Linked DNA regions of Sus scrofa. The protein of the gene in region 2 purifies or fractionates together with the protein of the main gene of each other region. This does not show direct contact. Links are inferred from orthologs where the notes say so. Each region holds a gene or a part of one and is shown on either strand. Other genes may lie near its edges.

Region 1 (3,831 bases), on a different chromosome or scaffold from region 2:
ATTAATTATTAATCATCATAAGCCATTATTTATTTTTTAAATGAAGTTTATATTCTTAGAGTTAACCTTTTTTTTGTCTTTTTTGACCTTTCTTGGGCCACTCCTGCGGCATATGGAGGTTCCCGGGCTAGGGGCCTAATCGGAACTGTAGCTGCCGGCCTATGCCAGCACGGGATCCCAGCCGCATCTGCGACCTACACCACAGCCCATGGCAATGTCGGATCCTCAACCCACTGAGCAAGGCCAGGAATCGAACCCACAACCTCATGGTTCCTAGTGGGATTTAACCACTGAGTGACGACGAGAACTCCCGGGTTAACTTCTTTTAACAATGCCAGGCTAAAGTGTTTTGGTGGAGAAGAAAAGATGGCATAGTATGTGGTAGACCCCCAAACAGTTTGGTCACTTACCCTAATTAACACTTTTCCCAATATATTTGCTTCTTACTTATAAATTATATGTGTTTCGTTATCATTGTCGGTCTTAAGGTTAAAATGTATTAAAGCAAGATTTTTCATGATGAGATCTAAATCTGTTTTCAAAGCAGCCATCTTGGTAGTTTTAAGGTTCTTTGGTTTGACTTGTAAGATCCAGTTGTATTTTTCTGTGTAATGAGTTAATAAAGAGCTGAACTGGTCAGATCCAGTTGTATTTTTCTATGTTATGGGTTAGGAGAGAGAAGTATTACTTTTGCCTTTTTTGTTTTGCCCTTGTATTATTAATATTTTGTTTAATCCGTGGTTTCTTTGTAGGAATCTTTTGCAGCTTATCCATTGTGTGAGTAAAAAGTAAATCACATCCATAATTCCACTGAACTGGGCACACAAAAACTGCCATATATGTCACAGTATACTGAAAAAGAGCCGGCAGGTAAGCATGATGTTGCTGTCAGTTCCTCTAACATTGTGGACTTCCTATTTTTCCCTCCATATTTCTTGAGTACCATATGTGATATATGACCATGGTATTACTTAGGGCCAGTTTTAATCCATATATTAAATATTTATAAAGCTTAATTTCTAATATTGATACAAAAATGAGTATAAATAGAAATTCTTATATTTTCTTTTCACACTCCCTTGGCATCTATTTTGCTTTCCACTTTGGAAACTATTCTTTTGGTGTTTAGGTTACTGGACAAGTTACTTAATTAATTTTAACCCTAATTTTTTGATATTTAAAAAAAATGCAATATTCACCTCATAAAGTTTATGAATCAATCATGTAACAGTGCAATACTTGGTATTATATATTATAAATACATATTTGTTTTTCTTTGTGCTTAGAAACAATTAGATTTCCTATTTCAGTGTCACAAAACAAAAAATACATAACTATTTCATTTATTGACTGTCCCATATTCTGTGAGAAAATATTTTTAGTTCCTGCATATATATGTAGACCCAATTGAATAAGCAAATGTGTAGTATACATGTATGATGATACATACACACGTGATATACATGATATATTATCATGTATATGATCTATACATATATGATATACATACACACATGGGATATACATGATTATTATATATGTATACTATTCATTTGCTTATTCACTTGGGTCTACGTATATTATATGACAATGTGCTACTTAATAAAGATGCTACTGTTCGCTACTGTATATCCCTTCAGAATCAGTACTTAGTATTCAGGTTGTTCAGCTGTTAATGGATTTTCTCACCTTATGTATACCATTGGTAGTTTTGAAAAGTGGGGTAGCATGTGTTTGACTTGGCTCATCACTGTTTTCTTTCAGAGAATTTTCCTTGGCCCTAATTTTGGCAGGTTGTTTAATTGTGGTCCACTTGGTTCTTTATGATAGTACAGGTACCATTAAAGAAATTACTTTTCATCTTTGGAATGTATTCACTTTTAATGTAATTTAGTCCAATATACCTGTGTGAGTAATTCACTTAATGAATTTGTATTGAGCACTTATATGTAAGGTACTTAGATAATTTGGAGGATCATTCTCCAATTCTTAAGGAGCTTTTACAGTATAGAAATTTGGCATGTGAAAAAAAATTTTGGTAGGTTACATTATAAAAATTCTGAAATACATTTAAGGTACCAAACTTTAAAAGATATATTTTTGGGGGGTAAAGAGGTCACATAATTCTCCTAATGTATTTCATATTTACTTTTCAAGTAAGTTTGTGTAGTACTAGTAAGGTGCACTTGATGTTCAGTAGCTTATGCTTTGGCAAATAATAGATACACGTTGAAACATTACCCCAAATATCAGAATAAAAGGTCAGAATAAAAGAGGCTGTGCCCCTTTTATTTTTAACTCTGTTTTCCAGCAATGGATCAAGAATCCAGCAAGGCTGCCTGGCCCAAATCAGCAGGAGGATATCAGACAATCACAGGCAGGAGATATGGCAGAAGACATGCATATGTCAGTTTTAAACCATGTATGACCAGGCATGAAAGGAGCTTAGGTCGGGCTGGTGATGACTATGAAGTGTTGGAACTAGATGATGTTCCAAAAGAAAATTCCTCAGGTATGTAACATGAATTATTTTTAATAAGCATGTAAGAATTGGTCATATAATATTTGAAATATTGAGTCAGTTTTATATGTAGCTGAGTATAAATGCTATACATTTCCTATTAAGAAGTTCTGTTTTTAAATTTTTATTGAATTTAATGTTAATAGTATATAAACTTAAACAAAGAAAATAGAATATGGCCAATCATTATAACTACTTAGGCATGGCAGTGATTATATTGTCACATCCTTCAGCCAGAGGAAATCTTCATGTTTGAATCAAAAAAAAAATTGTTAATGTGAACTGAGTATATTTTCCCCTGCATATTACATTTAAATAGCTTTTTTGTTATTTTATTTGTAACTAAATAATTTTTTTTAAGAATCATCATATAAAATACAGATGTCAAGCAGCATTTAATTATTCAATTAAAATTTCTTAATTGTTCATTGGTTCGAAAAAGTATGTTGCACATATCCATGTGCTATAATTACATGTTTTTTGGACTGGAATATAATCTTCCTCTTTCCTGAGCAAAGTTGATAATTCTAGATTATTTTTACTGTCATTTATGTACAAGAATCTGAATTATTAGCCAAGGTCATTATGTTAAAGAAGGCCTTTTGCGATATGACAAGACTTCCCTTCAGTTTTTTATAATTCATAAATTTTTGTTCCAGCTATTCTCAATGTCTTCATTTTTGAAATTATTACATTAGTGATGGTAAAGATAGTCGTGCTTAAAATAATTTTTAGAGTAGATACAATTTTACTTTTGTCTCAGAATTCTGACAAACTATGTCAGAAACACCATTGTATTTTTTGTTGTTTTTCAGTCATAGTTGTGAGGTAGCTAAAGTTAATTCATTTTCATAGGTATCTTACAGCAGTTCATTTTGGGCATAGAAATCTAATATTATGTATCTAGATACAGAGATAATTTTCTGAAATGACATAAAACTCAATAGAATCTTATTTCTGCTAGATCTGTAACCTGCTCTTATAGCTGTTATAAGCACCTTAAAAAGCTGTGTGTAGTAAAAGAATTTAAGTGTGAATTGTACTCTCCAACAACTGGGAGGTTACTCTTTGACTTCACTTTGGTCTCTCACTGTGTAGTGTCTCATTAGCCTCCCTTTTAAATGTCTTTTAGAGATTGTTTTAGGTTTTAGAATGGTTAAAAACCTACAGAAGACATCTGAGGGACAGTATGTCGAGAGGCTACTAAATTGTATGAATGAACTCATAGGATGACCATTCTGCCCTCCCAGTTAAATTAGGGAGTCTAGAAGCACATGTCAGAGAAATTTACTCATATTCTCAAATAGGTA
Region 2 (3,831 bases):
AGAGGGTGTGGAGAAAAGGGAACCCTCCTACACTGTGAGTGGGAATGTAAATTGATACAACCACTATGGAAAACAGTATGCAGGTATCTCAGAAAACTAAATACAGAACTACCATATGATCCAGCAATCCCACTCCTGGGCATATATCCAGACAAAACTTTCATTCAAAAAGATACATGAACCCCGTGTTTATTGTAGCACTATTTACGGTAGCCAAGACATGGAAACAACCTAAATGTCCATTGACAGATGAATAGATTAAGAAGATGTGGTATATACACATAATGCAATACTACTCAGCCATAAAAGAACAAAATAATGCCATTTGTAGCAACATGGATGGAACTAGAAATTCGCATACTAAATGAAGTGTGTCAGAAAGAGAAAGACAAATACCATATGATACCACTTATATCTGGAATCTGATATATGGCACAACTGAACCCATCTACAGAAAAGAAACAAACTCATGGACATGGAGAACAGACTTGTGGTGGCCAAGGAGGAGGGAGTGGACTGGGAGTTTGGGATCAGTAGATACAAACTACCGCATTTGGAGTGGATAAGCAAGAGATCCTGCTCCCTAGCACAGGGAACAATAACCAATCACTTGTGATGGAACATGATGGAGGATAAACTGAGAAAAAGAATGTATTTTTAACTGGGTCACTTTGCTGTGTAGCAGAAACTGACAGAACACTGTAAGTCAACAATAATTAAATTTTTAAAAATAAAACAAAAGTAAAAAGAAAATTAGTTCTATAACATTAACTCACCAATCTTAGAAGGAAAAAGAGTTTCATCATCAAGTTGATCCTGAACCCAAGTCATCAAATAGTCAATGTATTTTGGTGCAGAACATTTGATTGGTTTTTTAATATTAGTACCATCTGCCCAATGGTATTCATATCTGGAGAGAAAAAGTTTTAGTGACAAAATTTTCAAAAACATGTTGTAATCAAGGTAGGTTCACAGTCTGTCAACAGAAGTTCCTTTAGTAAATTACCTAAAGTTCTCCTAAAGATGACTTGAAACTTCCCTAGAGAATTACAGTTGAGCCTTGAACAACACAGGTTTGAACTGTGCAGGTCCACTTGCAAAGGATAGTTTTCAATGGTAAATACTACACTACATGATGCACAGTTGGCTGAACCCGTGGATGCAGTGGAATCATGGATATGAAGGGCTAACTATAAGTTATACCCATACTCTGAAATGTGATAGTTACAAATGGAAGAGAAAATGAAGATAGTGTGGTAGCTGGCTGTGCCAGAATATGTTTTATAGCACATCCCTGAGAAAGACAAAAGAACTGCATTCCTGTCCGTTAGGTAAAGGTGCTGAGAATGGGCAAGGGGCTGATGGATCCACCACATTCTGAGTTTGTTGGCCGTTCAGTAATCATCAAAAGAGCCAAAATTGGAGTTCCCGTCGTGGCGCAGTGGTTAACGAATCCGACTAGGAACCATGAGGTTGCGGGTTTGATCCCTGGCCTTGCTCAGTGGGTTAAGGATCTGGCATTGCCCTGAGCTGTGGTGTAGGTCGCAGACTTGGCTTGGATCCAGCATTGCTGTGGCTGTGGTGTAGGCTGGTGGCTACAGCTCTGACTTGGGAACCTCCATATGCCGAAGGAAGCGGCCCTAAAAAAGGCAAAAAGACAAAAAAAAAAAAAAAAAAAAAAAGCCAAAATTATAAACTCTTGTTTCTTGGAGGGAATTTTAAAGAAACGATCGTTAAAAAGATCTTTAAAAAGGCATGAATCTTTCTCTACCTCCCCTTTGATGAGCTAGAATGATTAATAAGATAATCACAACTTCACTGTATGAAGCACTTAAGCCAAAGATAGTGTTTTCTATTTGTTTTATTTAAATTTCTTTTAAGGAAGTTTGAGAAATAAAACTGTAACACCGCACAAAATAAAAAAACATTCCTCCTGGAGTTCCTGTTGTGGCTCAGAAGTAAGAATCTGAGGATGTGGGTTCCATCACTGGCCTCACTCAGTGGGTTAAGGATCTGGCATTGCTGTCAGCTATGGTATAGGCTGCAGACACAGCTCGGCTCTGGCATCACTATGGCTGTGGTGTAGGCCGATGGCTATGGCTCTGATTCAACCCCAAGCCCAGGAACTTCTGTATGTCATGGGTGCGGCCCTAAAAAGCAAAAAAAAAAAAAAAAAAAAAAAAAAATCAAAATCCTCCTAAAATAATGTAATAAAAATGGACTCATTGAGTTCCCTTGTATGCAGTGGATTAAGGATCTGGTATTGTCATTGCTGTAGCTCACGTCTCTGTTATAGCACGGGTTTGATCTCTGGCCCGGGAATTTTCATATGCTGCAGGTGCAGCCAAAAGAAAAAATAGGATTCAAACTCACTTTTCTTTTCCTTTACAACTGTAGCAGATTCAGAAAGGACAATTTTTTGCCAAGAGGTAAACATCTTGATTACCATCTATCATCACATAAAATCATTTATTAGAGGAAAAGAGACTGGAAGGAAACACTAAATTATTAATTTCATCACCTCCTGACTTAACTTTGAATGATAGTTTCAACTCTCAATATTTCTTGGAATTTATTAGTCAAAAAAAAAATTGTCTTTTTTTTTGAGGGGGGCACACCCATGGCATATGGAAGTTTCCAGGCCAGGGGCTGAATCAGAGCTACAGCTGCCAGCCTACACCACAGCCACAGCAACACAGGATCCAAGCCGCGTCTGCGACCTACACCACAGCTCACAGCAATGCCGGATTGTTAACTCACTGAGTAAGGCCAGAGATTGAACCAGCATCCTTGTGAATGCTAGTTGGATTGGTTAACCTCTGGGCCATGATGGGAACTCCCCCAAAATTTTAAACTTAGTGTCTTTAGGGGTCAAGTAAAGACTCTTCCAAGAAATTAATTTAAAAACCAGAAACAGAACCATAACTGTCAATAAAATTGAAAAAATAACTTTTCCAAAGCAAGATAAACCTAACTCGAATTACCTTCGCTCCTACACCTGAACATTAATACTTACTATAATGGAATTATTAAAAAAAAAAAATCAACATACCAGGTAGCATATACCAAAGTATTTAATAACTAAAAGCTTACAGGTAAGCCTTTTGTTTTCACAAGTAAATAGGTGAGAAAAACAAGTCTTTATTATTTAATTTATATCAATTGGTGATTAGCTTTATTTAGTAATTCAAACGCAAATATAATAGCCAATATATGTACCTTGGACCTGCAGACATGACTGGACAACTTGCTTCAGTGCAGAATTCTGTGATAGTTCCATATAACATGTTGATCTGGTTGAAGAAATCCACAGCTGGAAAGATAACAGCAGAATTCTGTTTTGTTTTGGTTTTTTCCTTTTTCTGGGGGGGGGTATTTCATTTTTTCCTTTGCTTTCTAGGGCCGCACCAGCAGCATACAGAAGTTTCCATGCTAGGGGTCAAATTGGAGCTGCAGCTAACTACCAGCCTAGGCCACAGCCACAGCAATGCCAGATCCGAGCTGCATTTGCAACCTACACCACAACTCATAGCTACATCAGATCCTTAACCATAGGGTGGTGCCAGAGATAGAACCCACATCCTCATGGATACTAGTTGGGTTCATTACTGCTGAGCCACAAAGGGAACTCCCAGAATTGTGTTAAAATGTTTGTGTAGGAGTTCCCACTGTGGCACAATGAGATCAGCAGTGTCTCTGCAGTGCTTGGCTGCAGGTCTGATCCCTAGCCCAGCAGAGTGGGTTAAAGGATCCGGTGTTTCTGCAGCTGTGGCATAAGTCACAACTGCGACTTGGATCTGATCTCCCGCCTGGGAACTCCATACGCTGCAG

What was found.
Region 1: the proteins of MOB1A (region 2) and PJA2 purify together in Homo sapiens (affinity purification with western blotting; 3 studies listed by BioGRID). This does not show direct contact. The link is inferred for Sus scrofa from reciprocal best matches to the Homo sapiens genes MOB1A and PJA2.

What each region holds. Positions count from the first base shown.
Region 1 is NC_010444.4:114,368,209-114,372,039, reverse strand, and holds part of PJA2 (E3 ubiquitin-protein ligase Praja-2), read left to right. Parts: intron 1-752; 5' UTR 753-839; coding exon 840-870; intron 871-2,311; coding exon 2,312-2,512; intron 2,513-3,831.
Region 2 is NC_010445.4:68,862,325-68,866,155, reverse strand, and holds part of MOB1A (MOB kinase activator 1A), read right to left. Parts: intron 3,314-3,831; coding exon 3,220-3,313; intron 911-3,219; coding exon 777-910; intron 1-776. UniProt on the Homo sapiens protein: Activator of LATS1/2 in the Hippo signaling pathway which plays a pivotal role in organ size control and tumor suppression by restricting proliferation and promoting apoptosis.